4 linked regions of the Pelodiscus sinensis genome follow. The protein of the gene in region 2 purifies or fractionates together with the protein of the main gene of each other region. This does not show direct contact. Links are inferred from orthologs where the notes say so. Each region holds a gene or a part of one and is shown on either strand. Other genes may lie near its edges.

Evidence for each region.
Region 1: the proteins of NFKBIA (region 2) and NFKB2 purify together in Homo sapiens (affinity purification with mass spectrometry; 6 studies listed by BioGRID and IntAct, counting the BioPlex papers as one, with this or other methods). This does not show direct contact. The link is inferred for Pelodiscus sinensis from reciprocal best matches to the Homo sapiens genes NFKBIA and NFKB2.
Region 3: the proteins of NFKBIA (region 2) and beta-arrestin-1 purify together in Homo sapiens (affinity purification with western blotting; 3 studies listed by BioGRID and IntAct, with this or other methods). This does not show direct contact. The link is inferred for Pelodiscus sinensis from reciprocal best matches to the Homo sapiens genes NFKBIA and ARRB1.
Region 4: the proteins of NFKBIA (region 2) and RELB purify together in Homo sapiens (affinity purification with mass spectrometry; 4 studies listed by BioGRID and IntAct, counting the BioPlex papers as one, with this or other methods). This does not show direct contact. The link is inferred for Pelodiscus sinensis from reciprocal best matches to the Homo sapiens genes NFKBIA and RELB.

What each region holds. Positions count from the first base shown.
Region 1 is NC_134718.1:2,691,766-2,699,393, forward strand, and holds the start of NFKB2 (nuclear factor NF-kappa-B p100 subunit), read left to right. Parts: upstream 1-4,612; 5' UTR 4,613-4,621; coding exon 4,622-4,879; intron 4,880-5,750; coding exon 5,751-5,829; intron 5,830-6,185; coding exon of another isoform or gene 6,186-6,257; coding exon 6,258-6,298; intron 6,299-6,598; coding exon 6,599-6,697; intron 6,698-6,981; coding exon 6,982-7,133; intron 7,134-7,628. UniProt on the Homo sapiens protein: NF-kappa-B is a pleiotropic transcription factor present in almost all cell types and is the endpoint of a series of signal transduction events that are initiated by a vast array of stimuli related to many biological processes such as inflammation, immunity, differentiation, cell growth, tumorigenesis and apoptosis.
Region 2 is NC_134714.1:48,030,160-48,037,223, forward strand, and holds the start of NFKBIA (NF-kappa-B inhibitor alpha), read left to right. Parts: upstream 1-4,064; 5' UTR 4,065-4,206; coding exon 4,207-4,463; intron 4,464-5,002; coding exon 5,003-5,111; intron 5,112-5,581; coding exon 5,582-5,792; intron 5,793-6,312; coding exon 6,313-6,401; intron 6,402-6,509; coding exon 6,510-6,770; intron 6,771-7,064. UniProt on the Homo sapiens protein: Inhibits the activity of dimeric NF-kappa-B/REL complexes by trapping REL (RELA/p65 and NFKB1/p50) dimers in the cytoplasm by masking their nuclear localization signals.
Region 3 is NC_134711.1:324,012,230-324,020,137, forward strand, and holds the start of beta-arrestin-1, read right to left. Parts: upstream 3,002-7,908; 5' UTR 2,361-3,001; coding exon of another isoform or gene 2,341-2,360; intron 1-2,340. UniProt on the Homo sapiens protein: Functions in regulating agonist-mediated G-protein coupled receptor (GPCR) signaling by mediating both receptor desensitization and resensitization processes.
Region 4 is NC_134743.1:2,217,993-2,225,325, reverse strand, and holds the start of RELB (transcription factor RelB), read right to left. Parts: upstream 3,011-7,333; 5' UTR 2,882-3,010; coding exon 2,827-2,881; exon of another isoform or gene 2,768-2,826; intron 2,611-2,767; exon of another isoform or gene 2,345-2,610; intron 2,267-2,344; coding exon 2,186-2,266; intron 555-2,185; coding exon 507-554; intron 1-506.

The sequences.
Region 1 (7,628 bases), on a different chromosome or scaffold from region 2:
CTCAGGGGTTTTAGCACCGGCTCCCCACTGCTTCCCCCCCCAGGGGCAGCCGGCGCTCGGGGAGCGTGGTGGCTCGCTGACTCTCTGTGGGGCTGGAGCATGAATACCAGGGAAGCCCCAGGCCTTGGGGGCCAGATCAAGCCAAGCCACGGCCCGTAGGTTCCCCATCCCGGCTGTAAAGTGTCCCTAAGGGTATGTCCCAGGTTCACCCTGAAGATTCCCTCTGAAGTCCACCGGAGTCAGTGTCTGCCGGGAACCGCATGCCAGCTGGGGGAGTCCCTCTGTGCCGGCTGAGCGACAGGAGCTCTCCAGCTACCTTCCAGCCCTTCGCTCCCAGTGTCTGCGCAGGGCTGTGGCTTCCTGCCTGCAGCAAGCCCCTTGCTCGCCCAGGCCCAGCAGACGACGGGAGGCCGGTGCTTCCTAGAGGTGCTCCGAGTGGCGTTCAGCCTGGGCTCTGCTGCCTGGGGAGCCGACGGAAGCCCGTCCTGGCAGGCCAAGGGCTGGTTTGGCTGGAGCACAGGCAGTCGCCTTGGCTTCTCCCCAAGGAGAGCCTCTTGCAGTGAGCCGCAGGACGGCCCTGAGTCCGTGCTAGGCTAGCATGCTGGTCCAGGCTCCTGCAGCAGCTGCATCCTTTGGTCCTCGCACCCTGGTCCTGCAGGGAATGCTCCCAGGGAGCACACCTTGCGGAGGAGTGCAGAACAGGGAGCCTTCCCTGTCCCCTGGAAAACGCTGAGCACCGTTGTTCCGGGTGCCCAGGTGGGATCCTGCGGGGTCTGCCATGCTCCAGGACTTGCTGTTTGTCCTCCAAAGGGATCAGGCAATAACTGAGTCGAGGGTCAGCTTGGTGAACCTCCTGGGTAGATGGGGAGGTTACAAATACAGCAGGATGCTGGCAAATAAGAAATTAACTGAGCGCGACAAGCCGTCCAGGAAAGAGCAGTGGGGAGGAGGAGCTGGGTGCAGAGAGAGGAGAGGGTTCACCAGCTATAGCACAGGGTGGGTGCTCATGGGGCGTAGGCCTGCGTCCCCGGTCTCTGCGCCCCCGAAACACCGCGCTCTCACAGCAGACATCGTGTGCCCGGGCTGTGCTCCCCGCCCGCTGGGAGGAGGATCAGCTACGTGAGTCAGCATGTGGAGATGCTGCGGCAAAAATAGTACCTGTGATACTGGGTTGTATTGGTAGGCACGGCGAGCGTGAAATGTCAGCGGGCAGGTGGAAGGGGAGGTACCTACAGACAGTGTGTCTGGGGAACTGAGACCGGGGGCAGAAGATGGCCCATCAGGCACCGGCTGGAAAAGGATGCTGCTTAGGCTGTGTATCCTGCTATGGTTTTGTAGCCTCTTCTGTCCTGAAGGAATCCACGTGCTTACACAGGCTGCCTTGCTGAAATGCAGCTGCTTCTGGGGTGTAGCTCGGCTGCCCTGCACTTGCTTTCTCTGGAATAGCAGGTCTCAGTCTCTGGCATGTCTTCCTGGGCCCAAGGGATCTAGCCGAGCCTGAAGGGCCAGAGGAGACAGGCAACAGCTCAGCTCTCCTGGCACAGTGCAACTCTGTGCGGGAGCCAGGCTTTTCCAGAGACTGTGGAACAAACTCCCTCAGGCACTAAGGCCCATCCCAGACCCCGGTGTGCTGCTTTGCTCCCCTGCTCTAACATGGGAGTAGACGATGAGAAAATGTTCCAGAAGAACACTCTACGGGCACAGCCGCATGCCAGGCGTCCATCCTGGCCCTGGCTGCATTGCTAGGAGACTCTCTGTGGATTAAAACACCGGCTGGGGGAAATCCATTTCGCCCAAGGACATCGGGGCCTCCCACCCATGATCCTTCATGTCAACGCCAGGCTGCCTGGTCCCAAAGGCTCTGTGTTACGATGGGCTGGCCTGGATCTACCTTGTGCCCAAGGCGAGGGGCTAGGATATGCCGCCCGTGCTCTGTGGCCTTTGTGAGCTGCCGTGCGGCAGTGGTGGAGTCCCAGGGTTGCTTTGTGATGGGGTCTGCCAGGAGCCAAATAGCCCTGGTCCTCCTCAGAGTCCTCCTCGCATCCCCAGGGGTTCCTCCCGGGCGCCCCTCCCCGCTCACAGCATCTCTTCCTAGTGTCTCCGTGCCGGCAAGGTGGCTGGTTGGCAGAGCACGTAGTCCCGCTGCCCCCGGCCACGCATGCAGGGCAGCCCCTGGCTAGACTTTGAGCGGAGGGAAAATCTCCTTGAGAATTTTTTCCTCCCTTTGACTTCTGCAGAAAATGAGTCACTGCCTGTGCAATCCCCGTCCTACCCCTCGCTCTCCCCCACGCACCCAAAATCCCCACGGTGGGGCCTGCCGGCAGCCAGTGATTCATGGTGTGAGAGTGCCGAAGAGTGGGAACCGGGCCGCTGCCGCGGCCGGGGGAGAAGCCAATCTGGACAGGGACCGGGGGCTGCGCTGAGGTCCTGCCCTACCAGGTCCTGCCATTCGCAGCCCGGGGACAGGACTGGAGCCCTGTGGCTGGCAGGGGCTGAACGGGCCGTGGAGGCCCAGCCTGGGGAGGGGAGAGTCACTGGCACCAGCTGCCGCATCAGTCCGAGGCTTAGATCCAGGGCCTCAGTCCCTGTGCGCCAAGGCTGGCCTGGAGGCGACCTGTTCGGAGTCTCTCCCCTCCAGCTGCCCTGTTCTGTGGCCAGGGGGCTGGGTGCCTCACTGGGCAACCCCCATTCTGCTGCCATCTCTGGGGCGAGGTGGAAAGTGCTGCTCTCAGCCGGGCGGGCAGGGAGGGTCTGTGCCTGGTCCCGGGGGAGGGAGTGGCTGGCATTGGGGGGTATCGCTCGGCCCCCCGGGAATGGGGAGAGATGAGCAGGACCTGCCTTGGAAGAGGACTGGGGCTGAGGGACGGTCTCCGTGCTTGGGGGGCAGAGGATGGGGCCGTGGGCAGGTGGCCATGGAGCAAGGCTGCTTTTCTGTGCCCCTTAGCTCTGAGCACAGAGGATGTTGTATTATGCGAAGCAGCAGGCTTGGGGGTGGAGGAGGGGGCTGGGATGCTCTGGCTCAGAGGCAGTTGCATATACACACAGCAGGTCTAGCCGTCTGGTGTTGCGTTACCTCGCCAAGGTTTCTGTGTCCTTGGAGGAGCATCAGAAGGGGTTAATCCCTGTTGCCTTTCATAGCCAAGGATCCCTAAACACTTGGCCTCTGAAATGCGGCCACCTCTGGGGTGGAGCCAGAGGCCCACCTGCTGGAACGCCGCATGCCAGCAGGAGGGAGGCCGGGGCAAACCCATGACGCTAGAGGCTGGACCGTGGAATCTCCGGCCCAGCCTGGTGCTGGAATAGCGACTCAGAGCAGAAGCGAGAGTCGGCAGTGGGGAAAGCAAGCGGCCTGCCGGAGTTTCCGGCCCAGGGCAGGGCCAACCCCAGCTCTGCCTCTCCGCTGCGCCCTCCTAGTGACTGACTGATTGTGAATCTCTGGGCCTGGAGGTGAAAACTCCCTCTGTGTTTCAGAAGGGCAGGAAATGATTTGCATAGCTCGCCTAGCCCCGCCCCGGGGTCACCCACAGCCAGCCCTGGCATTGCTGGGAGTCGGCTGTGCTTCTGGCTGAGGGGCTTGTGGGGCTCCCAGCCTGGCAGTGACAAGGGAGGGTCCATGCATGGGGGGATGTGCGCAGAGAAGTCGGTATTCCGCACCGGCCTGCGGCTAAGGTAGGGGGGCACCAGGCGGGCAGGGGAGTCGGTGTGTGAACCGCGGGGTGAGTGGGGGGGGCTTGGCGAAGGGTGCGCTGGGGCCAGGGGGCTTGTGTGTTGCAGGGTCAGTGTGTCTGCTGTAGGGCAGCTGGGGGTGTAGGAAGGCTGGGGGCAGTGGGGGGGCTTTTCTGGCTATGGAGGGGAGTGAGTGGAGTGCTGCGGGGTGCCCGCAAATCAGGCAGCGGGGTGCCGGGGAGAGCGGTGCTATGGGGCAGGATGGGCAGGAGGGGTCTGGGGGGAGCGGTGCTATGGGGCAGGATGGGCAGGAGGGGTCTGGGGGGAGCAGTGCTATGGGGCAGGATGGGCAGGAGGGGTCTGGGGGGAGCGGTGCTATGGGGCAGGATGGGCAGGAGGGGTCTGGGGGGGGCGGTGCTATGGGGCAGGATGGGCGGGCGGATCCGGGGGGGCGGTGCTATGGGGTAGGATGGGCGGGGGAATCCTGGGGGGGCGCTGCTATGGGGCAGGATGGGTGGGGGAATCCTGGGGGAGCGGTGCTATGGGGCAGGATGGGCGGGGGGGCGGTGCTATGGGGCAGGATGGACGGGGGGATCCGTGGGGGCGGTGCTATGGGGCAGGATGGGCGGAGGGATCCGGGGGGGGGGGCGGTGCTATGGGGCAGGATGGGCGGGGGGGCGGTGCTATGGGGCAGGAGAGGTCTGGGGGGGGCGGTGCTATGGGGCAGGATGGACGGGGGGATCCGGGGGGGCGGTGCTATGGGGCAGGATGGGCGGGGGGATCGGGGGGGCGGTGCTATGGGGCAGGATGGGCGGGGGGATCGGGGGGGCGGTGCTATGGGGCAGGATGGGCGGGGGGATCGGGGGGGCGGTGCTATGGGGCAGGATGGACGGGGGGATCCGGGGGGGCGGTGCTATGGGGCAGGATGGGCGGGGGGATCCGGGGGGGCGGTGCTATGGGGCAGGATGGGCGGGGGGATCGGGGGGGCGGTGCAGGGCGCCGGGGTCAGGCCAGGTGGCGGCGGGGGGCGGGGCCAGGCGGCGGGGGCGGGGCCGGGGGCGGGGCCAGTGACGCGCGGGCCCGTCATTTCCAGCCCCGGGCTGGGTTTCTAGGGACTTTCCGGGCGGCCCGGCCCCAACTTTCCTCCCCCCCCAGGCCCGGCCCCGCCCCCGCCGCGCAGCCCGGCCCCGCCATGGACGAGCCCTACAACGCGGTGAGACCCGGCGGGGGGGCCGGTGGGTGCGGGGCTCGGGCCCCCCCTCGCTGTGCCGGGCGGGGGGAAGGATGGGGGGGGCCGGTGGGTGCGGGGCTCGGGCCCCCCCTCGCTGTGCCGGGCGGGGGAAGGATGGGGGGGCCGGTCGGTGCGGGGCTCGGGCCCCCCCTCGCTGTGCTGGGCGGGGGAAGGATGGGGGGGGCCGGTGGGTGCGGGGCTCGGGCCCCCCCTCGCGGTGCCGGGCGGGGGGAAGGATGGGGGGCCCGGTCGGTGTGGGGCTCGGGCCCCCCCTCGCTGTGCCGGGCGGGGGGAAGGATGGGGGGCCCGGTCGGTGCGGGGCTCGGGCCCCCCCTCGCTGTGCCGGGCGGGGGGAAGGATGGGGGGCCCGGTCGGTGTGGGGCTCGGGCCCCCCCTCGCTGTGCCGGGCGGGGGGAAGGATGGGGGGCCCGGTCGGTGTGGGGCTCGGGCCCCCCCTCGCTGTGCCGGGCGGGGGGAAGGATGGGGGGGCCGGTCGGTGCGGGGCTCGGGACCCCTCGCTGTGCTGGGCGGGGGAAGGATGGGGGGGCTGGTCGGTGCGGGGCTCGGGCCCCCCCTCGCTGTGCCGGGCGGGGGGAAGGATGGGGGGGCCGGTCGGTGCGGGGCTCGGGCCCCCCCTCGCTGTGCTGGGCGGGGGAAGGATGGGGGGCGGTCGGTGTGGGGCTCGGGACCCCCCTCGCTGTGCCGGGCGGGGGAAGGGATCGGGGGGCCGGTCGGTGCGGGGCTCGGGCCCCCCCTCGCTGTGCTGGGCGGGGGAAGGATGGGGGGCGGTCGGTGTGGGGCTCGGGACCCCTCGCTGTGCCGGGCGGGGTGTCAGGCTCCCCCTGTCCCGCAGTGCCTGGACGGGATGGACTACGACGACTTCCAGTTCAGCTCCCGCCTGATGGAGCAGAAGGAGCCGCTGATGGAGACGGGTGAGGGTCTGGCTGCGCGGGGGGGGGGTCAGGGAGCTGCCTGGCTCCAGGCCGAGGGGAATTCCCAGGCAGGCCCGGATCCCGGGAGTGAGAATTCCCGCTCAGCCGTGGGGAGCCTGGCTGGGCTGGTGATCAGTCCGCAGGGCCTGTCCCGCCCATTGGATCGCAGGGCTCCGGTGAGTGGGGGGGCCTGATCCATCTCCTTCCGCCTCAGCCCCCCCCCGTGCTGCTTCCCGGAGCACGCTCACCCCAGGGGCACTGTGGGGCCCCTCCCTGGCTCTGCTGCAGGGGGAGCGTGATCTGACTTCACCTCCAGCACTGACCCTGCCTCCTCCTCTCTCCTCTGCCCCCGTCAGCGGGTTTCCAGCCGTCGGCCCCGCGTGCAGGTGGGCGCGCTTCACTCGGTGTCTTTCCTTTCTCCTCCGCAGCCGAAGGGCCCTATCTCATCATCATCGAGCAGCCCAAGCAGGTGAGGACTCTGCGGGTAGCCGCCCCGCCCCCCCGCAGCTCCCGCCCCGCCCCCCCGCAGCTCCTGCCCCGCCCCCCGCACACGGCTGCTCCCGCCCCGCTCGTGGCTGCTCCCGCCCCGCAGCTCCCGCCTGCCAAAGCTGGGGTGACAGTAGCTGTAAGGTCCCCTGGCCAAGGCTCTCAACCTGTGCCCCCCGCAGTAGGGAAGGGGCGTAGGCGGTCGGTGTGGGCCTTTTTCCCAGTGGGGTGGGGCCCGGGGCCCTGGCTCTACCAGGCTGTGACTGGGGTTCTGGTTTGGCAGCGTGGGTTCCGGTTCCGGTACGGCTGTGAAGGCCCCTCGCACGGCGGGCTGCCTGGCGCATCCAGCGAGAAGGGACGCAAGACTTACCCTACTGTCAAGGTGAGTGCCAGGCAAGCTGTGCGGCGCGGCGCTGAGGTCCGGGGGTTCCCCGCAGCACCCCGTGTGCCCATGCAGGGAGACTGCTCCGGGGCCGGAGGTGGGAGGTGAACCTCCAGGGAAAGAAAGCTGGGATAAGACTGGCCCCTGTGCTGAGGGGCTTGCGAGGGTTTGGGGAGAAGGGGAATGCGACCCCGGGGGAGCCAGCAGTACAGGTTGCAGGCCCGTGCCCTCCCTCCTCTCCCCCGCAGCCAGGGAGGGCCGCTCACTCCCCCTTCTCCCGCCAGATCTGCAACTACAGTGGCGTGGCGCGCATTGAGGTGGATCTGGTGACGCACAGCGACCCGCCGCGGGTGCACGCCCACAGCCTGGTGGGGAAGCAGTGCAACGAGGCTGGGAATTGCATCGTGACCGTGGGCCCCAAGGACATGACGGCACAGTACGGACCGGGGGCTGGGGCAGGCCTGTGTGGGTACCGGGCGGTGGCCGGGTCGCTGTCGCGTCAGTTACACTGGTGCTGGGCAGGCACAGCTGCTGCCCTCAGCAAGCCCCTGCCGAGATCCCTCTGGCTGGTAGCTGGGCATCCTCTGCGGGGACAGACACGTATTCCCGGGGCTTCTCTTCTCCACCTCGGCCCCAGGAGCCCCCTTCCCAATGCCTCACCCGCACGGAACGGGCGCATCCGCTGACGGGCGTGGGAGACTCCCTGGCAAGCCTGTGCTCTTGCCGGGGCAGGCTGTAGCGCCGGGGGGGCCTGGAACGGGTGAGCTAATGTGCGAGAACCCCCCAGGGCGCTGCTCCTGGGAGAGCAGCAGGCGAACCCCGGGGGGCTCGTGGCTCTCCTGTACCGCGGGACGGGGCTGTGGGGGGCTCTCCTGGTCTCTTGCCCTAGTCGCGTGGTTGGCGACAGGCTGCCTGTCTGAGCCTGCGCCCT
Region 2 (7,064 bases):
TGAAGTCATGAGTTACAGAGACGAAACCTGCTTCATCATATATATAGTAGCCCAGTGTCTGTGTCTGTAACACCGAAATGCTGGCTGTTCCCTCTGGACAGTGCTGTTGCCTGAAATGCTAGCTGTTCCCTCTGGACGGTGCTGTTGCCTGAAATGCTGGCTGTTCCCTCTGGGCAGCCCGTGCTGCATGGGAAGTGTGGGGCCCAAATGGCCGCTTGCGCCACTTGCTCCCCCGCAGCAGCCCAGCTAAGCGGCGCAGAAGTCAACCAAGTGCCATGGTGGGAGGTGAAGGGGGAGCGGGGCAGGGACGTGCAGTGTGACAGCGGTTCCAGGCCCTGCCCTCTGGCCGTGAACGTCACCACCCCACCCCCTTTCGCCTCCCGCTGTGGTGCTCAGCTGACTTCTGCACTGCTCAGCCAGGCCACCGCATGGGAGCAAGCAGCGCAAGCGACTGTTTGGGCTCCGCACACCCCATGCAGCATGGGGAGCAAGTAGCCCAAACGGCCATTTGGGCTTTGCGGTCCACCGAGTGAGAGGCGGGAGGGGGAGAAGAAGTGAAAGAGAGAGACAGAGAGAGAGGCAGGAGGAGGGGAGAGAGACAGAGAGAGAGGGAGACTGGAGGCTCAGGAGAGAAGATCGACGTGGAGGAGAGACCTGAAAATCCCGTCTTATGACGGGCTAATTGGCTAGTTATAAATATAGGTCCAACTGTATGTCGCTATCTGCCTGTGTCTTTTTTCATTTACTTTCACTGTAAATTCTTTGGGGCTGGGACTATCTTTATGTTCTATGTTTGTACACACCTAGCACAATGAGATCTGAGTCTGTGATGAAATGCTACAATAATAAATGAATAAATAATAATCATTGCAATTTCTTTCAGTATAAACAAATCTAACTTCAATAAATGTACAATATTGTGTGGACTCAGTCATACAATTCCCACTGAAGTCAAGGGGGAATCTTTTCACTGACTGTGCTGAGGGCTGGAATGGACCTATATGAACAGGCTATAAAATAATTTTCCAGTGTCTAGTTGTTTTAAAATTTTGCTATTCTTGAGGGTTGATTTTCTCCTTAAAAATGCTTTTTTTATAACCTTAGCTCCTAATGACTTTTGTCTGGGAGTTTTATCAAGACTGACCTGGCATCTGTGTCAGGATATAATATAAAAAGTGTGTAGGATATAAATGTTTACATATACATTTAATTTTTAATCATAAACTAGTAGCAAAATGTAACTGATGTTTCAACCATCTTGTCTGGTCCATATATCCTGTAGATGTACAAGTTAGAGCACTTCCTGCTCCTCAAGAAATAAGTTTCCCATATTTCAACTACCTGGGTAGCTTCCCATATAACTGCAAGACCATGGTGGATCCCTATCACTATATAATGTACTGCATATTCCTCTCTCCTCTGCCATAACAAACCTTATCTAGGTCTGAGCAATAATATGCCATAAAGGCCCAGTAGAGGTCACTGTAAACATACCCACCTTCACTTGGCAGACACTAGTCTTGAGGATTACTATCAAAACTAGAGGCAGTTTGGGTAACAGCAGTCAAACCACTGAGACAAATGAATCAAGTTATCAGAGAAGCTACTCTGTTTTGGGGAGATCAAAGCATCTGACTTCATATGATTTGTCTTTATGATTAAGTAATGTGATGCTGTGCTCCTAAGGTACTATAGTCTACAAAACCTAAACTGCTGCTTGCTGAAGAGTATGTTTTTCAGGGAATGAAATGGCCGTGAAAGCTTGGCACTTGCATTCCCATTGGTTAAGAAGTGGGTTGGCCCTGGTGTGACCTTCCATCCTTTTGCTGCAGTGCTACCCACATTTTTTTAACTTTGACTACACTAACAGAAACGTATAGCGAGTAAATCTAAACGCTGGTGCATTGTAAAAAGTCTTTCTGTTGGGAGAGTAATTTTTAAAAGTAACTCAGGTTATGTCCACACAGCAGCATTATTTTGGAATAACTGATGTTTTTCTGAAATAACACAGTGCACGTCTACACTACTAGCCTTTATTTCAAAATAATGTCGAGCTGGAGGACTTCTTACTCTGACTCATGGTAACCCTCATTTCATGAGAAGTAAGGGAAGTCAAAGGAAGAATGTTCCTCCTTTGATTTCCTGAGGTGTAGACAGCACCTCGAGTCAAGTTATGCTATTTCGACTTAAGCTATGCAATTGATGTAGCTGAAGTTGAATAGCTTGATTTGACTTTAGCTCTGCTGTGTAGACGTATCCTCAGTGTTTACTGCTGACAACTGCAAGCATTGAATGCATGGAAGGCATTGGAGAGCCCACCGATTTAAAGTTTAATTTCAATTTGGCCCCAATAAAGCATTTGTTGCAGAATTCTTATGATATTTTATTCCTCTGATTGCCACAGTATCAAGGGCAAGAACTGTATCCACCAATCAATCAAACAATAAATAAAATCTTTACTGTTCGTACAGCATAGGCTTCCAGTTAATGAGAAAGGTATGGATTAGTTAAATTACACTTCACTTAGAAAGAAAATGTTTTAACCAAAAAGGGGAAAATGCATGAAAATTTCATGACCCTGAAATTTTCAAAAAAATAATTGTGGAGCTTTTATGAATTCTTTCAAAGGGCACAACTGTGTTTTTCCAAGCAATGATTCCTATTTCTTTTTATAAGAAAGTCCAGAAATATTGCAGCTGGCCTGAAAAAAATTGGACCATCTGCCCTCTTTCTCCTTTGCCTCTGTCTTTGGATTTTCTCATAACTTTTTTTCTCTCAATGGCTACATTGCCAGAAGAGGAAGACAAGAAAATTTCTCAGACATTATTACTCAGTGTGGTTGCAGGAAAAAAATTCTTCATGGGAAATCCCCCAATGTCTGAGAAGAAAAAGTAAAATTCAGCAGGAATCCCAGTCCCCAGGTTAGCGTGCAGAATCCACAGGATGGCCTAGATGTATTTTTAATCAATCTAGGTGCTTTCAATATTTCACTTGATCTTTATCAGTGAATGTCATCATACCCAATAGGAATTATCAGAGAGGGATATCTAGATAATGGGTAACAATAAACAGCATGCCATTGGCAAAAAGAGAAACTTTTTCTGGTGAGAAGAAAAAATGTTAACTTAAATATGTAAATTTTGGGAAGGGGGAAAAAAGTGAATTAATCTTTGATAGGTACTGTCTCAGTTGGAGTGGGAAGGGAAACCTGCTGTATGTGCTTGATCCTACACAGGAGAAGTTAATGGGAGATTTACCATTGACTTCAATGGAAGCAGGAGAAAGCCCTATGCAGAGCAAGCTTTACTCTTAAAAGTAGTCGTTTTATGAGGCTACATTTATGGAAATTGGGGCTTCTGAATAGTTAAAAGGTTGTTAGTTCCAAACTCATCTGAGGTTTAAGATGTATTTAGTGTGGCTGCTATTGACTACCAATGCTAGTTCTTACATTTAAATAGTGCCTTGCACCACAGGGTATTACAAAATTAGCAAACTGACAGATGGGGGGCTGGTGTGAAATACAGCACAGCGGGACACTGTGGGAATACAGCATCCAGCTGCAACCCCAGGGGCTTTTAGAGAAGCAGCACAGGAGCTGTGATGTGGCCAAGACAACCCTGGTCTTTGCACAAAAAAGTGGCATCTTCATGACTCCAAGTGGTAGTAGGGGGGACACTGCTTGTGTGCCTCTCAGGCAGGCAGTGGCAGGAGTGACGGCATTGGCATCTCCCCTGTGGTGCCGTTTTAGCCTTGGAGAACCTGTGAGTACAGAGTCCCAGGGAGACCAGGGGAAGGGAAACCCCAGGATGGGAAAAAGCCAACTCCAGGGGCACGGCAGGGAAGTACCTGGGGAAGGGGGTTAGTCACAGAGCTGTACCAAGTACTTTCCCTCTTGTGAAAAAGGGGGTGGGGGAAAGCGAAGAGGGGCGGGTCAGTCATGGGGATTCCTTCGCTGCGAGTCTCGCCTGGGCTTTTATGTAACGCCTCCCGCAGCCAGGCGCAGGCTAGTTCTTGCTGTTTGACTGGCCTGGAAATTCCCAGCCAGCGGCTCCTCCCCCTCGCAGAAATCCCCTCAGCAGAGGGCGTATATCCAGCGCCACCGCGCGCCGCCGCTCTCACTCTGACGCCCGGAGCCGCTTGGTGAAAGATCCACAGGGGGGGACCTATTGCTGCGCCTGCCCGTCCTGTGCTAGCGGCGGCCCAGCCATGTTGCACCCCAGCTGCATTGCGGATGGCCAGCGGGAGCTGGCGATGGAGAGCCGCGAGCCACTGAAGAAGGAGCGGCAGCTCGGCTTGCTGCAGGACGACCGGCACGACAGCGGGCTGGACTCCATGAAGGAGGAGGAGTACGCGCTGCTGGTGAAGGAGCTGCGGGACATCCGGCTCCAGCCCCAGGAGGAGCGGGGGGCGCCGCACGCGCCGGCCCAGCCTTGGCAACAGCAAGTGACCGAAGAGGGAGACACGTAAGTGTGTGTCCTGCGCCGGCTGCACGGAGACCCCCGCGCGGGGCGCTGCGAGACCCGGGGGCCGCGGGCGGGCGCATTTGAAACGACGATTGCTTTTAGATAAGCGATAGTGGGTTCTACTCAGAACCTAGCTGAGCCCTGCTGGGGGGCGGGGGGGCGCTGCGGGCAGCGCCAGGCGCCGTAGGGCTGCGGAGTCCAGCGCTGGCCGCCCGCCAGCCGTGCCGGGAGGGGATGTACAGAGTGTGCTGGCGGGGCGGGGCGGGGCCGGCGCGGCGCCCGGCTGGGCGGAGGGGGAAGGTGCGGTGGAAAGTCCCTGGCGCGCCGCCAGGAACACAGCTCATAACAACCCCGCGGAAAACACCAGGCCGCGGCCTCTGAAAACCCCAGGCTTGCGAAAGCCGCCTGCAGCCTGTGCACGTGACTGCCGGGGCATTGCCCGGGGCTGGCCTGCTGATCCCGTGAGCTCACGTCCTCCCCTGGCTCATCGTTCCCGGACCGACTTTGAGGGGTTGTTTCTTTTTTCCCCCCTCTTGCAGATTTCTCCACTTGGCAATTATTCACGAAGAAAAGGCCTTGAGCGTGGAAGTCATTCGGCAGGCAGCTGGTGATCCTGCCTTCCTGAACTTTCAGAATAACCTGAACCAGGTATTTTAAGCCATCTGCCTTCTTGCTTAAACGAGCCAGGTTGCCTGACGCCCTTGGTGATTTCAGTAACTGTGTCATGCAAAATTGTACATTCGGTTGATATTTAATCAGCTGAGCCCCTCTCCCTCCAAGACACAAGATTGCCATTGTCCACAGATAAACTTCTGTTTGTGTACAATCAACATTTGAAACGACACTGGCATTTGAAACGATGGATTGCTTTTAGATAAGCTGTAGTGGGTTCTACTCATCCATTATTTCCATGAAAAATACACCCTTAATTTGTACTGGCCCTCTGCGGTCAAGGGAGCTTTAAATCAGTCACTTCCAAATTAAAAGAGAACTGAAGAAGTCGAGCTAGAGCTGCTAGAATCACCAAGTGGTTGAAGGGTTATATACTCAGTTGCTGTCTCTAACATTTCCTGTTTGTCATGTACCTTATACTAGTTTGTTTTCTTTTTTTATTATAGACACCACTTCACCTGGCAGTAATCACAGAGCAGGCTGAAATTGCTGAGTCTCTTCTCAAGGCCGGTTGTGATCCAGAAATCAGAGATTTCCGAGGAAACACACCACTTCATATTGCCTGTGACCAGGGGTCTCTCAGAGCTGTCAGCGTCCTTACTCAATACTGCCAGCAGCACCACCTATGTTCAGTCCTGCAGTCAGCTAACTACAATGGTATGCATGAAATTCTTAGCAGCTAGTGTTTTTGTGACATGAATTTCAGAGTTTTATGAAGATGGGAGGCTGAGGCCTAGCTGTAAAATGATTTCCCTGAAATCACACTGCAGTCAGTGCTGGAGCTCGGAATAAGTCTCAGCTCCCTTGACTGCAAGTGCTTAACTCTGGTTTTCACACTCTTCAACTTTACACTTTGATTTTTAGATAACACTGTTTAGATATTTTTTTAAAATTGTAGACATTTTACATGTTTCTGTTTCTACTTTGTTAAAACAAGTTCCGGTGTACCACTGGGTGGAAAAAAGGCACTGCGTTTAAAAAATAACGGTGCCTTAGACACAGTACAACGATGATTAGAGAAATTTAAAAGTTCATGTAGAACATTTTACATTCAGTTTAGATAATGGTGATTGTATTTCAAACTCAAAATATGATAGTGTGTTAGGGGTGTTAGAAAGTGACTAATAATGCATTAAAGTAGAAGTACTTAATTTGTACCTATGTTCTTGTTTTACAGGACACACGTGTCTCCATTTGGCATCTATTCAAGGGTATCTGGCTATAGTAGAATATTTGCTGTCCTTGGGAGCAGATGTCAATGCTCAGGTGTGTATTTGAAGCTCTTTGTTTATCCAAACATGATAATGCTGGAATAGGAATATCCAGTTTTTGTAGTGCCAAGCCTAACTATCCTGTTTTATTTTTACTTACCAGGAGCCTTGTAATGGCAGAACTGCCCTGCACTTAGCTGTAGATCTGCAGAATTCAGAACTGGTGTCACTTCTAGTAAAACATGGGGCTGATGTGAACAAAGTGACCTACCAGGGCTATTCTCCATACCAGCTGACATGGGGAAGAGAGAGCTGCAGGATACAGGAACAGCTAAAGCACTTAACCATGGCTGACCTACAAATGCTACCAGAAAGTGAGGATGAGGAGAGCTGTGAATCAGAATCAGAATTCATGGAGGATGAAGTAAGTAATTATTTTCACCCTTTTATAAGGAAGGACTAAATTTTGCCCTTATAAGCATCTATATGCTCCTATTAAAATTGTCAGAGAAATGTGCCCATAATTCTTAGGTGTTATTTCCTGATGTTTTGATGGCATATTGGATGGCCTGTTGACTGTATTAGATATATTTCATCTACACACTCAAAATAAACTAAAAATATAAATTAGTAAGCATTAGGAGTGCAATATAAGGTCTAAGCATTGGACACCTAAAGCCAGAGGTGAAAGTAAGCTGGTGTACCCCAGTGTACCACT
Region 3 (7,908 bases), on a different chromosome or scaffold from region 2:
CTGAGCTGCACTCCCAAGACAGGCGGGCCCGGGGTTAGAAATTGTGAAAATAAATTTGAGGGAGAGTTAGCAACAAAAATCCAAAGAATAAATCCATTAAAAACCCCAACAAGCATGCCTATGCAGTGTGCCACAAAGTGCGTCTAGTTTGCGTAGCTGATGATGGTAGCAGGGCCAGATTTTTAAGCTATTCAGACCCTTCTCCTGTCTTTGGGACAGTCACCAGAGGAGAGAGCCATGCATGTTTTACAGTTCACTTCTCCATTATCAGAGCACAGTGCTGCTCCTCTCTCCCTCCTGAGTCTGTGCTCAACCCATGCTCCCAACCTGGCTTGAGGGGGTGTCCGCCTGATCCAAGGGCCCTCTTTCACAAGATTTGATAGTTTTCTTCTTTTCCCACACTGCTGGGCAGTGTTGTTGTGAGCTGTTAATCAGCTGCCACATCCCAACCCAGAAGTGGCTGCATTTCAGATATAAATAAAAGGCCTTTTAGCTATGGGTGAATCAAACTGTATGTATTTAGAATGATCCACTGAGGGAAAGAGTACCCACATTTTCTGGTTGCCCTAGCTCCTAAAACCTATGCACTCAGGGGTGAGGACCCCATTGTATACACACATAGTAAGAGGCAGTCCTTATTATAGAGCTCACCATGTATATAGACAAGGGTGGGGGGAGGGAGGATTCTTATCTACATTTTGCATGTGGGGAAACTGAGGCACAGAGTGGGCAGTACCCAAAGTCACATAGGGAGTCTGCCGTAAAGCCATGAATTGAACTAACAGCTCCTAACTCCTACACCATCGTCCTAGCCATCAGACCATCCTTGCTTGAGGAGGAGGAGGGGGGCCAGCTCTGGGAGGGGATGTTGACACCCGCACCCAGGAGCCTCGGGGATGGAGTGGGGAGCAGCAGAGCAGTCCGAGTTTCCCGGGGCTGATAACTGTCCCTGCGAGACTCTCCACACACCCACTGCAGGGCCCAAAGCTCACATCCCTCCCCTGCAATAGGAACCTCCCCCCTCCTCCCCAAAACTCAGAACCTAGGGCTGGAGGAGATCTGAGCTGCCCCTCCGAGAGTGAGGCTTGGCCAGCCAAGCCCTCAGCTCAGGACTGAGCGCCAGGCCTCCTGCGTGCTAACCAAAGCGCTGACTCGCCGGGCAGCAAGTCACTGCACGGCCGTGCCTCAGTTTCCCCACTTGCGAAGGAGTAGTACTCGCCTCCTGGGGGGCAGCGCCGGACAGAGACTGCCAGGCCAGCGAATGCTGCACATGCTACTGTAGGAGAGTCATCGCTCGCCCCTGCTCTGCCCAGCGGGCCAGGCTGCGTCTCACATGAACTGGGAGTGGGGCGAGCTAACACTCCCACTAACCCCCCTGCCCTGAAGGGACCCTGCTACGGTGCAGCCCTGAGCCCCCCCAGAGGAGACGGCAAAGCCCCTCTCCACGCCCTGCAGTCGCCCAGCCTTCGCCCCAGACAATTGCAGGGACCCCGCCGTGCGCATCTGCCCGCGGTAACTGGGCCATTTCGTGGGATCTAAACGTGGCCCGGCACCAGCCCTGGATCCTCTTTGCTTCGGGTCCCGGCCAAGCCAAGCGGGTGATTCACGGAACCGATTTCCACAGCCCCTAGCCAGCAGCTGCGCGACCCCTGACCCAACGGGAAGCCCGCCCTGCTCCCCTGGGCTACCCGCCGGCGGGGGCTTGGCTCCGAAAGGAAACCGAGGCACAGCAGGAGCCCTCAGCAGCCCACGCTGCCCTGGAGCGGGTCCAGGCAAAGCGAAAATGCCGCTCGCCCCCCAGCCACGGGACCACCCCGCCACCGACCCAGCGCGTCCACAACCCCCGCGAGCAACCCGGGCGCCCTGCAAAAAGGCCGCCTCTCCAGCCAACGCTTCTTGGGGGGGATCAGGCCAGGGAGAAACCCCCCTTCCGCCGCCTGGGGAAAGTCCGGGTTTTCAAGCCCGCCTTGTAGCATCTGCCAAAGGCTGGAGCTGCGGCGCTCCGGCCGAACAAAGCGACACACGCTGGTGAGCGGCAGATGCTAGAGGAGCCCTGGAAATGGGCTATTCATGGGCATTCGGTCGAGAGCGGACGGCTTGGAGTCTGCGTTCGCTCTGCTGGGCCGTTCAGCGCCACACGCCGCCTTGCTGCTCTGCTCACAAAACAAGTCCCCTCACCCTCCAAACCCAAACATCTCCCGGTACATGGGAAAACGCCGGGATCCAGCAGGCGGATCTGCCGGGGCAGCTACAGTCCAGGAAACAGGCGAATAACACACGCGCAAGCATCACCGTCTGCAGCTGAATAACCCGCATGTAAAAAAAAATACATTCACCCACCTGGTTCCTTTGTCTCCCATGGCCCAGGCCACCCTTCCAGCCACTTGCCAGGGAAGGATCAGAGAGGCGTGGAAAATTACTAGCTGTTAATGTGGAGCCAGAGGAAGCGGTCGTCTCCTGGCAGGAATTGCTTACTCGCGCTCTCACCGCACCAGCGCGCAGACCCCGGCTGCAGACGATGCAGAGAGCTCCACCGGGCTGTCGCCTGGCTCCGTGTCTTAATAACAACAAGACTGCTGGGCGTGTGGCCGTCCGGCCCTGAAGTGCTTTTGTGCGTAGAGATCACAGCCTGGAATAAACCCAGCGGTGGTGCACGGATGTCAACGCAGCCATGAGATGAAGGGCACAGGCGCAAATCCCAGGCACAGGGAGACACACACACACACACGCAGAGGATCCCTTAGAGGGTTGTAGCTCGCAGACACGGCTGCTCCATCTCTCCCATTGACAGCTTCCCCTCCTGCCTCCGTGGAGAGAGATCCACCCTCGCCGGGCTCCGAGCAACACCGCCTCCTACTCCAGGCGTGCACAGCTCAGGACTGAGCCGCGCACAGCTGCTGCAGCCCGTGTGGTAACAGGCTCAGGAAATCAGCATCAGCATCATCTCCCTCCGGCTGCCCAGAGCTGCGTGAGAGCAGGGGGCTGGCTCTGCCCGTGGCCTGTGAACCGCGGAGTGTGTGCACGCAGGGGAGCTGGCCATGCCGCAGCTCTCCAGGCAGGGGAGTTTGCGTTTCCTGGAAACGCTCTGTGACCCTTCTCTTCCTGGTGCCAAACAGCTGGATTTGGGCAGAAACCATCCCAGGCCATTGGCTTGGCTTGCAGGACAACGTACAGCCGGTCTCACCCCTGCACTGCCCCCCCATCCGCCTCTTATTAACCCCTCCAGCACAATGCATGCAAGGGCTTCACAGACAAGAGGGACTGGAATTGCTCCCCTGCAGCTGAAATGCAGCCACCTCTGGAGTGGATCATGGACAGCGCAGAACACGGCCTCTCAGTGCTTAGCGAAGTTCAGTGGGGGAGATCTAGGTTGGATATTGGGGGAAACTATTTCCCTAGGAGGGTGGGGAAGCACTGGGATGGAATCCCGAGGGGGTGGAATCTCCATCCCGAGAGGTTTTTAAGTCCCGGCTTGACAAATCTCTGGCTGGGTTGATTGAGTTGGGATTGGTCCTGCTTTGGGCAGGAAGCTGGACTTGATGACCATCTGAGGTCTCTTCCAAGTCCTATGATTCTATGATTCTAACAGTAACCAGCACTGAGGTCTAGTTCGGCTGCAGCACAGAGATTCCCTGGAGCCACACTGGAATGTACTCCTGTCACGTCCCCTTCCAGTGAGAGCAGCCGGCCATGGTGTCAGTTTGTTCACTGACTACGCCCAGCTGTTTCGTGGTCTGGGGAGGCCGAGGGGGGAGCACGGACTGGTGAGTGTGGATGCAGCCACATGAGTCCGTTAGATAAGCTCCAAACTGCAGTGATGCACGATGGCCCACTTCTGACCAGAACAAGCTCAGTATGCCTTTGCGAGTCAGTGGAAAAGAGGAGGGGGAACCACTAAGCCACCCAGTCCGACCTTCTGTGTATCGCCGCCCAGTAGCCACCCACATCAGACAAAGGGACTGCAGCCCACAGGAGACTGGGCCATGCCGCAGGCAGAGAACACAAGACACCAAAGCCCAAGCACCCTGCAGTGGTGGGGAAATGACTCACTGAGATTTACCCAGGTGATGTAGCGGGTGACCTGCTCCCACAAGCTGCAGAGGAATGAGAAAAAAAAACACCCCAAAGATCTGTGGCCATGTTCCTTCCAGACCCCACCCAGGGCTACAAATGAGACCCTGAGCACAGCAACAAGAACTGGCCAGAGAGAGACAGAGAGAGGGAGAAGATGCTCCGTGTCCCCACTTACCGCATCCAGGTTGTCTTCAAATCAGATGGCTGCCTCAAGAGATGCAAAAATGAGCTCCCTGTATCCATCACCTGGGATTATAGTCGCTCAGAACAAGATACCTCTGGGCTCACACAAATACATTGTCCCTTTCCACTGAGAACTGACAACCCAAAAGGGCAGCAGGAAGGAAATGTCCTCATTGTGTAGCTGGCGACCCCAGGTGCAGAGAGCCAGTGACTTGACAAAGGTCACACAAGGAGGCTGTGGCAGAGGATGGGATCCACAACTCCTGGTCGCCCTCTATGATGTGCAGAGTGAAAGGGCTAGAGAAACGAAGAAGAAGAATGGAGGAGACAGGCTGCCATTTATTTCAGGACATGCACCTCACACAAACTTCTCCACCGTGAAGCACCAGCTAGGGTGAAGGAAGCAGGGGACGATGCCTTAGAGATTGTCTCCATTGCGTAATTCTGTGTACTTGAAAATCTCATTGCTTGTGCCGTTTGTCCCCTCTGGATTCTCTCTGGTGATGTCACTGGCGTTCTAGCGCTCACTTCAAGAAGAAGAGAGCAGAGGCACGCCACTGTGCGTGTGCGTGTGGTATGAAAACTGCTAGTACAGCATGAAGGGCTGCTCTCCGGTGAATAAAGGCCTATTTGTGTAACTAAGTGGTTAGCTAAAATCAGAGGGTTTGGGGGTGGAAGGGGCACTTGATCCTTCCCCTAGGCAGGAGACAGCAGGAGGCAATTTCCATTTCTGAGGCAGATGATGAAGCTATTCAGATCTCCTGAGCTTTACTCTCCTCGGCTCCAGGAGATTGGGGTTCTCTTCCCACAGAAGATTTGTATTTTCTGCCCCAACTTTAGTACCAAGGCATTTTAGGCTGGGAAACCCCCATAGTTCAGTTTCCTAGGTCAGACTACATTTCCCATGGTGCACCTCAGTCTCTCTTCTTGGCACTGCATCATGGGAGTCCCTGGCCCTGATGCATGATGGGAGATGGAGCCCTGCTCCTGGCTCTCATGCACAAATAGATGGTCAAATCCCACGCCATGCAGAAGGAGCTCTGACACTGTGTGTAGGAGGGACAAATTCAGGTCTTTGTCCTTAGACCCAGAGCCCAGCAACAACTAAAACCCTTTGATGCGAAACCTGCTAACAGTTTGCTGAGCTTGTCTGCACAGTCACACGTTCTCACCCCACTGGACTGCCTAGAATAGCACTAGACCTCAAAAGCGCCCAGGCCCCGAACGACCTGCCTGAGGTCACTTCCAGAATGCAAACAGGGCCTCAACTTCTCCACTCAACAGGGTCCCTCCACTGACCCCAATGCCACCGTGTGTGGGTTCACAAGGCAGCAGATGCCCAACAACATTAAACCAATCACGAAGCCCTGGAAGCCATCTCGCTCCAGATAAGGATAGGGCAGGGTTCACTTAGGGACCAGCAGGCCTAGTGGGCCGGCCAGGGCTCAGCAGTCCCCCAAATCCTGGGGTGGGCTTATCAGGCAATCCGAGGGGCTGGTGGCCAAGTTACAGTCTGTCCTTCTCCAGGTTCCCCCGGTCAGACAAAGGCCGGAGGGAGACCTTGGCCCTCCCTCTCCAATAGGTCCCAGCCCAGCACCCAAGGTGGAAGGAGGGTCTCACAGACCAGCCTCCCCTTGGTCACTTCCTACCTCTCCTTGTCTCCCCTCATTTTGGGGCATGGTCAGACACTCATGGAGGGCTGCTGAAGCTGTCTCAGCCACTCAGAAAAACAGCTTCCCCGCCCCCACCCCAGCGCCCAACGATTCCCCTTTGTCAGGGGGAATGGGAGGGGAAAAAGACGGGGCGAGCAGTGAAGGGGAATCCAGGGTCCACTGTTCATGTGACACCTCCCCCCGCAGCCTGGGGAAGGACTGGGACAACCCCCCATTGTTCCAAGCCCTGCCTCTCCTCACCCAAGCTTCACCCCCTTCTGACTCTTGCTCCACCCTCTCCCTGCCTCTTCCTGGCCTTTGCTCTGCCTCCGCCCCACCTCTTCCTTCAGTCGAGGCGGCTCTGGGGGAATAGCTTGGCTGGGGGCAACGCCAGCAGCAGGGTTCTCCCCCCCCCCCCGCACTGGGGGAAGTGGAGCAATATGGCCCCGGCTCGCTGTGCTCCTCCGGCCACGTTGCCTCTTCCCAAGAGCGAGCGCGGGGGCCGTCTCGTCCCTCTCTGATGGACAACTGGAGGAGCAGAGCGAGCTAGGTCCACTTTGCTCCACTTCCCCCTACTGCCATTGAGTCCGGGGGTGAGGGCAGAGCCCTGCTCCAGGAACAGGCCCCCTGCTGCTCTGCCTCAAGTGCTGACCAGCTCCTTGTCTCTCGCACCCATAGCTTTGGGGCACATGACCCTCATGCCCCCCTACATGTCGCCCCAGAAAAGGAATCACACCCGTGGGCCCATGGTCTGGACACACCCACAATCCAGGGCCTCCATGGGATTCCTCTCTCCCAGAAGCTATTGACTGGCTTCCTATCCGCTGACAGCCTCTCCTTGCTGCCTCAGCCTGACCCATCCCCTCCTCAGCAAGTCCTCCAGCTGGTGGAGCAAGCTCTGCAGCTGCCAAGGCCCAGGCCTGCTCCATCACCCCGTAGCCTTAGCAACCTGCATCATGGAGCGTTTGCACATGCGAGCTTGTGGCTCAGGCCCCAGAGCTTGGTTCTAGAGCCAAGCTCTTCTAGAGCATGTAGAGCTTAGGTTTGAAATGGCCATTGTGTCTTTACACGGGGTCTTCATGTCTTACGTAGGCCAAAGCCAAAATGTAAATGCCTTGGCGGCAGCTCTCCCCCCCAACTCCAAGTTTTCAAATGCTCCTTTATTTGGGCCCTTTTCCTCCCTTTACTACTGTGCTGCAGAAAAAAAGGAAACTTACTCTCCTAAAACAACGAATAGTCTAGCAGCACCTTAAAAAGACTAACAAAACATGTAGCTGGCATCTGAGCTTTCGTGGGTTCAACCCACTTCTTCAGATGGCTGGAGTATTAAAAGTCCAGATCCAAGAATAAAAAAGGGAAGGTGTGTGTGTGGGGGGGGGGGGGGGGGGGGGGGGGGGGGGGGGGGGGGGGGCGGTGAGAGGGAGGGTGGAGGAAAAGGAGGAGGAGAAAGAAAAATAAATAAAAAAAAGTAGTGAATTAGATTGTTCAAGTTACACGAGGCTGATAAGAGCAATTAGCCTCTTGTAACTTGATCTAATTCACTACTTTATTTTCTCTTTTTTTCCCCTTTTTCCCTCCGCCTTCCTGTCCCTCCGCCTTCCCTTATTTATTCTTGGATCTGGGCTTTTAATACTCCAGTCATCTGAAGAAGTGGGTTGTACCCACAAAAGCTCATGATACCGTCTACATGTTTTGTTAGTCTTTTTAAGGTGCTGCTAGATGATCGTTTTTTAAGTTTTTCCAGTTACCGATGTCAGGGACTCTAGCCCAGATGACTCGGTTCGTTGTCTGACCGCAAAGAGACAGGCAACACCAGCAAAGTCCAATCACAAGCTCTTTATTGAAGAGTGCACACAACAATAGAGAGCGGCCCGTCTCCAAAGAGAAGCAGCCCCGATTCTAGTGACAGGTAGGCTTATAAAGATAGTTCCGTTGCGTCATAAGCTCTTCACCCAAGCCACTTACCCCCCTTTCTAGAAACTTTTAATATCTATGCATA
Region 4 (7,333 bases), on a different chromosome or scaffold from region 2:
CAGGTATTCCCTTACCTGCTCTTTGGGTCCAATGCTAAAGCCCTGGAATTGGGCTTCAAGGAGAGGGCGCAGGGGAATGATAGCAGGGTTTGCCTTGCCACGCTTGCATGTTACCTCTCCCCTTTACTGCAGAGCAACCATGGGCAACCCAGGCTAGTGAATGGGCCACAAGATGGTTGTAACCAAGCTGGTCTCTCGGGATAGGGTAGCTTCGCTAACTGTGCTGGCATACCTAGAATTTGCAGAAGGTGCTGCTGGAACTGTAGCAGCGCTTTAAATGCAGAGGGAGCATGCTTCGTTTATAGTCCGTGTTGTGTGCATTCAGCATGGACCTCACTTCATGTGCCCTGGCTTGTGCGTGTCACTAGGGTAATACAAGTAGGAAAAAACTGCACAGATGAAAACCTGCAGAACCGGGGGCAACACTAAACAAAATTTCTTGTGAGCCACACCTAGAACCCCAATGGGCCACATGCCTGCCACCGGCCTAGAGCACTTGTACGTACCTGAGGTCACTGTACCCCCACTGCCCATTGTCCACTCACCTAATTGATCTGTAAAGGAAAAAGAAAGCATGAGCTTTTCTAATGCAGATGCTTAAATGTTGACGTCTCAAACCAGCCCCTCCCTCATGCCAGAGGGGCCAGGTAAAAGTGGCTACCCACTCAGCTGAAGATACCGTGGTGAGCTCTACAGCGGTGGCTGCTCCTACTTCACGTGGCATGAGGGAGATTAAGGATGTTAAGAGGCAGGCAATTGGCTAACTGTGTAGTCGATACAATTCGTATCGACTACATGATTAGTCGATATGGGAGAGTGCTCCAGGAGCTACCCCTGCTGCGGCTCTGCAATTGAAATGTAATAGGAACCGGGCACGCAGGAAGACTGGCTCCTGTTACGTTTAAAATGCAGAGCTGCAGCGGGGTAGGTCCTGGGTCTCAGCGCAAACCACAACTGAGCAGTCCTGGCTTGTGCCGGGTCTAGACACCCCATCCGCAGGGCAGTCCTAGTGGGGAGTGGGGACACCCCTGCCCTGTTCCCCCACTCTCCCCCCAACAAGCTGCTGCAGTGAAGCAGCTCCTGTCTGGGGGGGATCCTAAGTCTCACTGGGATCCCCCACAGATGGAGGCTGCTCCAGCAGCAGCCCTTGTGCTGCTATCTCTAACGGAGGCAGAGAATCGCACTGGGAGACTGTGCCGGGGGTAGCCAGCTTTTAAGCCAGCTCTCCCCAGCACCTGGTCCTACTTCCCCACCTTACACACACACACACACACACACACACACACTTGCTGCCTCTGATACAGAAGTAGTAAGGGGGGAGGGAATATGACTTGACTACTCTTTTACATCCCTAAGAGATAGGAACAACATGGCAGTTTGAACCCTGTGGGACTGCTGGCACCACTGGGCCTGCAGTGCAAGTGTGACACCCTCCAGTGGGCCCAAAGCAGGGACCTTTGAAGCTAAGTGCATGAGTCTCTACCACAGGAACTAAAACTCAGCTAAGGCTGTAGAGCAAGCTCATTCTTTCTCTCTGTAAGTGGTCTCAGTGCCACTCCATGGGACAGAGCACCATGCTCAGCAGGTGTGTGGGTTACACAGGTGCAAACTGAACCTTTAGTCAGCAAGAGTTGCCTGTTCCCCCAGCAGGCAGAGAGCAGAGCAGCAAGTGCTGAGGAGAAGACTAGGGGGTGGAAGCTACCATGCTGGGCTGCAGAACTACTCCTTTAGCCAGTGCACTGCACAAGGGACAATCCTGAAAGCACAGCCCTACTGTAGTGGTACCAGGATAGAAATGCAGGGCCGACTGAAATGTGTGTTTTCCACAAGTCCCCTTGGGAGATCAGGGTGGGGCCTGTGGCAGAAGAGCACCCACAGAATCAGTTGTCTGGAGCCACAGATAGGCTCAATTGAGGCCAGGTGGAAGGAGAGTGCAGGTATGGGATTGGGAGTTTGTAAAGCTGGCATAAATGTGCACAGGTCCAGGAGCCTGGACTCCTGGGTACTAACTCACTCTACCATCCGCTCCCCCATGGCCTGAACTCGTTCTGTCCCTCAGTTTACTCATCTGTAAAGTGGGGGCAATGGTGGATAGATTCATTCTCTCATTTCTGTACCATTCTCGGACCATGGAGAGCGCTAGCCAAGGCAGAAGTGTTATTAGCTATAAGGGGGAGGGAATTACCTTCAGCTGAGATCACAGCTCCCTTACTGGAGACCTGCGTGGTATGTGCCATGGCCAGGCCCGGATCTGGAACGGCAGCACCTAAAAAGACAGGATACACCGTTACCCCATCAGCCACCTGCCTTGTGCCCCGCCCCCCTTTGCATCTCAGGACAGCACCTGGCAGGGAAATCAGCAGGTGGCTCAGCCAGGTGCTCAAGGAGATCCCAGAAAACTTGAGTCCCACAAGTCCCTGGCCCAGGAGACAACACTCTTCCTCCCCGCGGTTGGACAGCAAGGAGAGACTTCCCCAAAGTCCCAGCCAAGCACCGACGCAAAGAGGCAGCGCCCGGGGACGGGGACGGGGACGGGTCCAGGGCACTAGGCGGAGGAGCCGAGCCAGCCTGGCGGCACCGGGCTGCGATTGTAGGTTCCCGAGGCTCACACGAGAGAGGCGGCGCGGGACCACAAAGTTACCGTCGCGGTCTTAAGCGCCAGCCTCCGGCACCGCCCCCGCGGCTTCCGCATGCCCCGGGCCGCCCGCTCGCTCCCACAGGGCCACTGCCCCAGGCCTAACGGGTCCCCCCGGGCCTCCTCACTGACCCTGCCCACCGCTGGCAGGCGGCCCGGAGCGCCCCCCGGCCGCAGCGCCGCCCCCTCACCCCGCGGGAGAGCCAGCTCCTCCGGCCGCGGCTGCCGTCCCCTGGTGTCCCGCATGGCGGGGCCCGGCGCTCGGCTCCCCGTGCTGGGCTGGCTCCCCCAAAGCCGCAGTCCGCGGAGGAGGCGACGGCTCTGGAATTCCCCAGCTCGGCCGGCCGCCGCCTCATTGGCTGCAGGCCCGAGTGAGCTCACCCGCCGTGGAACGGGAAAGCCCCGCGCTGGGAAGGGGGCGGGGCTCCAGCGCAGGGCGCAGCGTGGGCGGCCCTCTCCAGCGAGTCTGGGGCGCCGCGGGCCGTCCGGTGCCCTGCCGTGACCCCGCCGGCTGGGACCGGCCCCGGGGCCGTCACGCTCGGGTCGCCCTCCCGCCTCAGCATCGTCCTGGGGCTCCCAGGCACCTGCAGAGGCAGGGGAGGGCCCAGCACCGCAGAGCTCTGCCCCAGACTCCAGCTCAGCTGCTACTAAGCAGAGCGCATCTTGGGCAGCAGGGACAGACAGGTGGGGCCGGGACCTGGAGGGGTCGGTCAGCGGAGGGGGGCGAGCACCCAGAGCTAGCCTTGTGTCTCAGTCCCTGCCGTGCTGGTCTGATCTCATTGTCCTGGGTGTGTTAAAGGAAGGGCCCAGCCCAGCCTCCCTCCTTTCACTGGCTTACCTAGGTACCTGATTCCTGTACAGGAGCAAGTTGTTAGTTTAGCACTTGCAGCTAAGCCAAGGGAGGTAGTTGGTGGCAGGGTTCAGCTAGGGGAGGAGGTGGAGGGCGGCACGCTGTGCTATTCCTACCCGTATACACAGCTGCATAGGGCACTGGAAAACTTGGGGGACCACTGGGCCTTAGAGTCCACTCTGCCATTTCTCCCTATCCCTGCTCTAAGGCTCTGCTTCCTCCAGAGAGTATCTAGTTAACTCAAAAGTGGGAAAACCTGCCTTAGCAGACACAAAGCCTGTGAAAGAGCCAATCAAGTGGTAATGATGCTATTTAAGGGCATTTGCCAACACCAGGTCCATGATGTTTCTGAATTTACTGTATTAGTGTATATGACGTTAGTTTCAAATATTTCATTGGTGTGTTGCTGAAGATTATAAAATCATGACTCTAAAATATCATCCCCGCCCTGGCTGCCATTGAGCATAGGGGCACCAATTTCATAATACTGTGTAAGGCCCCTTAAATCCTAAGGATATCCATGGTGGCACAGTTGGGCCAGGGAAGGTGGCAGGTGACGTAATTCTTCCTAGGGATGTTAAGATATCAACTAACTGAATGATCGTATAATTCAAAGCTTAGCGGCTACACAATTATTTGATAGTCCCCGAGGGTGGAGGTGGCAGCTTCTCCCACTTCCCTTGCTACAGAAGTAGCAAGGGTGTGTGTGTGTGTGCACGCGCGCGTAGTTAATAGGATTAACCAAGTCCAGGCTTATCGGTTAATTGTGTAGTCGACTACACGTTGACATCCCTAGTTCTTCCACAACTTCTTTTGTTTCCAGCTGCTACAATCTTACATTAAAAGAAGCTAAAAATATGCAGGTCCTTGCCTATCATTCCTTTTCTAGTAGCGGAATATACCTGCCTCTGGAAATTTCCACTACATGCATCTGATGAAGTGGGTCTTTGCCCATGAAAGCTTATGCTCTAATACATTGTTAGTCTATAAGGTGCCACAGGACTCATTGTCACCTTTTCTGGTAGAGTAATCCCGAACTACACACAGTCACTGGATGGGCTATAGCAGGGTGGGCCAGCCCCCTGGGAGACTGGATAAAAACATGGCCCATGCTATGAAAGCATTAGAGAACATGGGGGTAGACAGTGGTGGGCACACAGAAGACACAGTCCCAGTCCAGAGTCATTGATTACCACCCAGAACAAGGCACAACATGGGACTAGGGTCTATGCCTGGAAGGATCCACTGTCTGACCTGCATCACAAAGTTAATGTAACCCCCTGGAATTAATTTCTGTTCAAACAAGAGCAGGTGCAAAATGGAGGGAGAGGAGGGCCAGGAGTGGCTCATGTGATTTCAATTAGCACAACTGGGCTGCTCCACCTCCTTAGGCAACACGTGGTGCTGGATTTGGCATCTCGGGTTTTAGGAGCCCCTCTTGAAACCTCTTGGGTCTGATTTTTGGAGGCGTTGAGCAGCTGAAGCCACCGGGTGGCCAGAGCTCTGGGTGTTCAACCCCTCTGAAAATTCACTGTCCCAAACTTAATTAATGCAGAGTTAAGAATGGCAGCATCTCATGCCTGCCCAGAATGTCCCCCCAGCTGGAACCCACTGAAACCCAGGGAACATTGGGCCAGGAATGTACGGCAGGTGTGTTGCTGCATGCACTGCACTGTAACAAGGCAGAGGAAATCTGCCGTTGATGTGCTGGGCCCTGGGTGTATTCTCCTGGGCTACATCTACACTGCAGGCTTCTTCTGCAAGAACTGTGCAAAAGGTCTTCCACAAGAGCGTGTCCATGCTGCCACGTGCTTTTGCACAAGAGTGTCGATGGCAGTGTGGACGCTGTCTTGTGCAAGAAAGCTCTGATGGCCATTTTAGCCATAGGGGTTTCTTGTGCAAGAAATTCATGTTGCCTGTCTACACTACCTTCTTGTGGAAGAGCTCTTGTTCAAGAGGGCTTATTCCTGGTGGGGAGAGGAATAACTCTTCCGGAAGAAGCCCTGTTTTCCAATGCTGTACTGTAAATTTACTTGCACAAGAACGTGCGTGCAGTGTAGTCGCTCTGCAAGTTTTTGCGCAAGAACAGCCTTCTTGTGCAAAAAGCCTGCAGTGTAGACGTAGCCTTGGAAGCAGTTCCAAACACCCCTACTGCTTTAGGAATAGCTGCAGTGACTGGGCAGGCAGGGGTGACTGGTAAAGGGGGATGTGGAGGGCCACTTGTCACTTGACCCCCGTTCCCCAGCTGCGGAAGGGCTAGGCCACCCCTCTCCAGCCTAGGTCCTGTCTCTTCCTGTCCTCTCCTACCCTTGCTCTACCTCTGTAACCACCACCAGGCAAATCTGAATCTAGGACCTCTGAAACTTAGTACTGTACAGGAGCCTCTGCCCTCTGAGCTAAAAGACAGCTGACTCTCAGCCCATGTTGGAGAAGTATCTTGTTCTTATCGGTTGCTGTGGTCTAGATGCCACCGGATGGGACAGTGAACAACTTGGCTACGTCTACACTGGCAGCTTCTTGCGCAAGAACTCTTTTGCGGAAGAGCATCCATTCCAGTGTAGACGTTCTCTTGCGCAAGAAAGCTCTGATGGCCATTTTAACCATAGTGGCTTCATGCGCAAGAAATTCATGTTGCCTGTCTACACTGGCCACTTCTGGAAGAGCTCTTGCGCAAGAGGGCTTATTCCTCGTGGGGAGAGGAATAACTCTTCTGGAAGAAGCCCTGTTTTACAGTATTATACTGTAAATTTACTTCTGGAAGAACGCTCATGCTGTGTAGACAGCCGGCAAGTTTTTGTGGAAGAACAGCTGTTCCTCCACAAGAAGCTGCCAGTATAGATGTAGCCTAAGGCTACGTCTACACTGGCATGATTTTCCGGAAATGCTTAAAACGGAACAGTTTTCCGTTATAAGTATTTCCAGAAAAAGAGCGTCTACATTGGCAAGATGCTTTTCCGGAAAAGCCCTTTTTCCGGAAAAGCGTCCGTGGCCAATGTAGATGCACTTTTCCGGAAAAAAGCCCCGATCGCCATTTTCGCGATCAGGGCTTTTTTGCGGAAAAGACTACTGTGCTGTCTACACTGGCTCTTTTCCAGAACAGTTTTCTGGAAAAGGGACTTTTGCCAGAGCGGGAGCAGCATAGTTTTTCCGGAAAAGCAGCTGATTTCTTACAGTAAATCGTCACTGCTTTTCCGGAAATTCAAGGGGCCAGTGTAGACAGCTCACAGCTTATTCCGGAAAAGCGGCTGATTTTCCGGAATAAGTGGCCCAGTGTAGACACAGCCTAGGTGTGTGGGTTACACCTCCACTTGTCTATTCCTCTTCCCTGAGCAATGTGATCTGGGGACTAGTGGGGCTGTGGTTCTGAACCCCCCCTGCAATTGCGGCAGGGCAAGCAGAGCAATGTGGCTCTAGTTCATTTGGCTCTCCCAGCCACATTGCTCCACTTTCTGACAGCAAGTGCCGGGGCAGTCCCACCTCCCCAAGCAATGCAGCCAGGTGAGCAGATCAAGCTGGGGCCACACTGCTCTGCTTGCCCTACCACTGCTGGTGAGTGTGGCAGGGATGGAGTCCCACTGTGGGCACCAGGCCACCTGCTAGTCCCCCCAGATGCCCAGCGACCCAGGGCCCACCTGTCCCTTTCTCCTCCTAATAAAGGTGGTTTCTTGGGCACTGCTGAAAGGGACAAATCCGGGAAAATTGCTTAGAGACAAGGCTACTTACAGCTTAAGATTGGTGGTCCTCCACTATAAGGCACCAGGCTAGTCACAAAGAGCCAGGGAAGGAGTTAAAATGACTCTGTAGCCTAGTGCTCAGATCTCTTCTGAGAGATGTCAGATCCTTTTAAA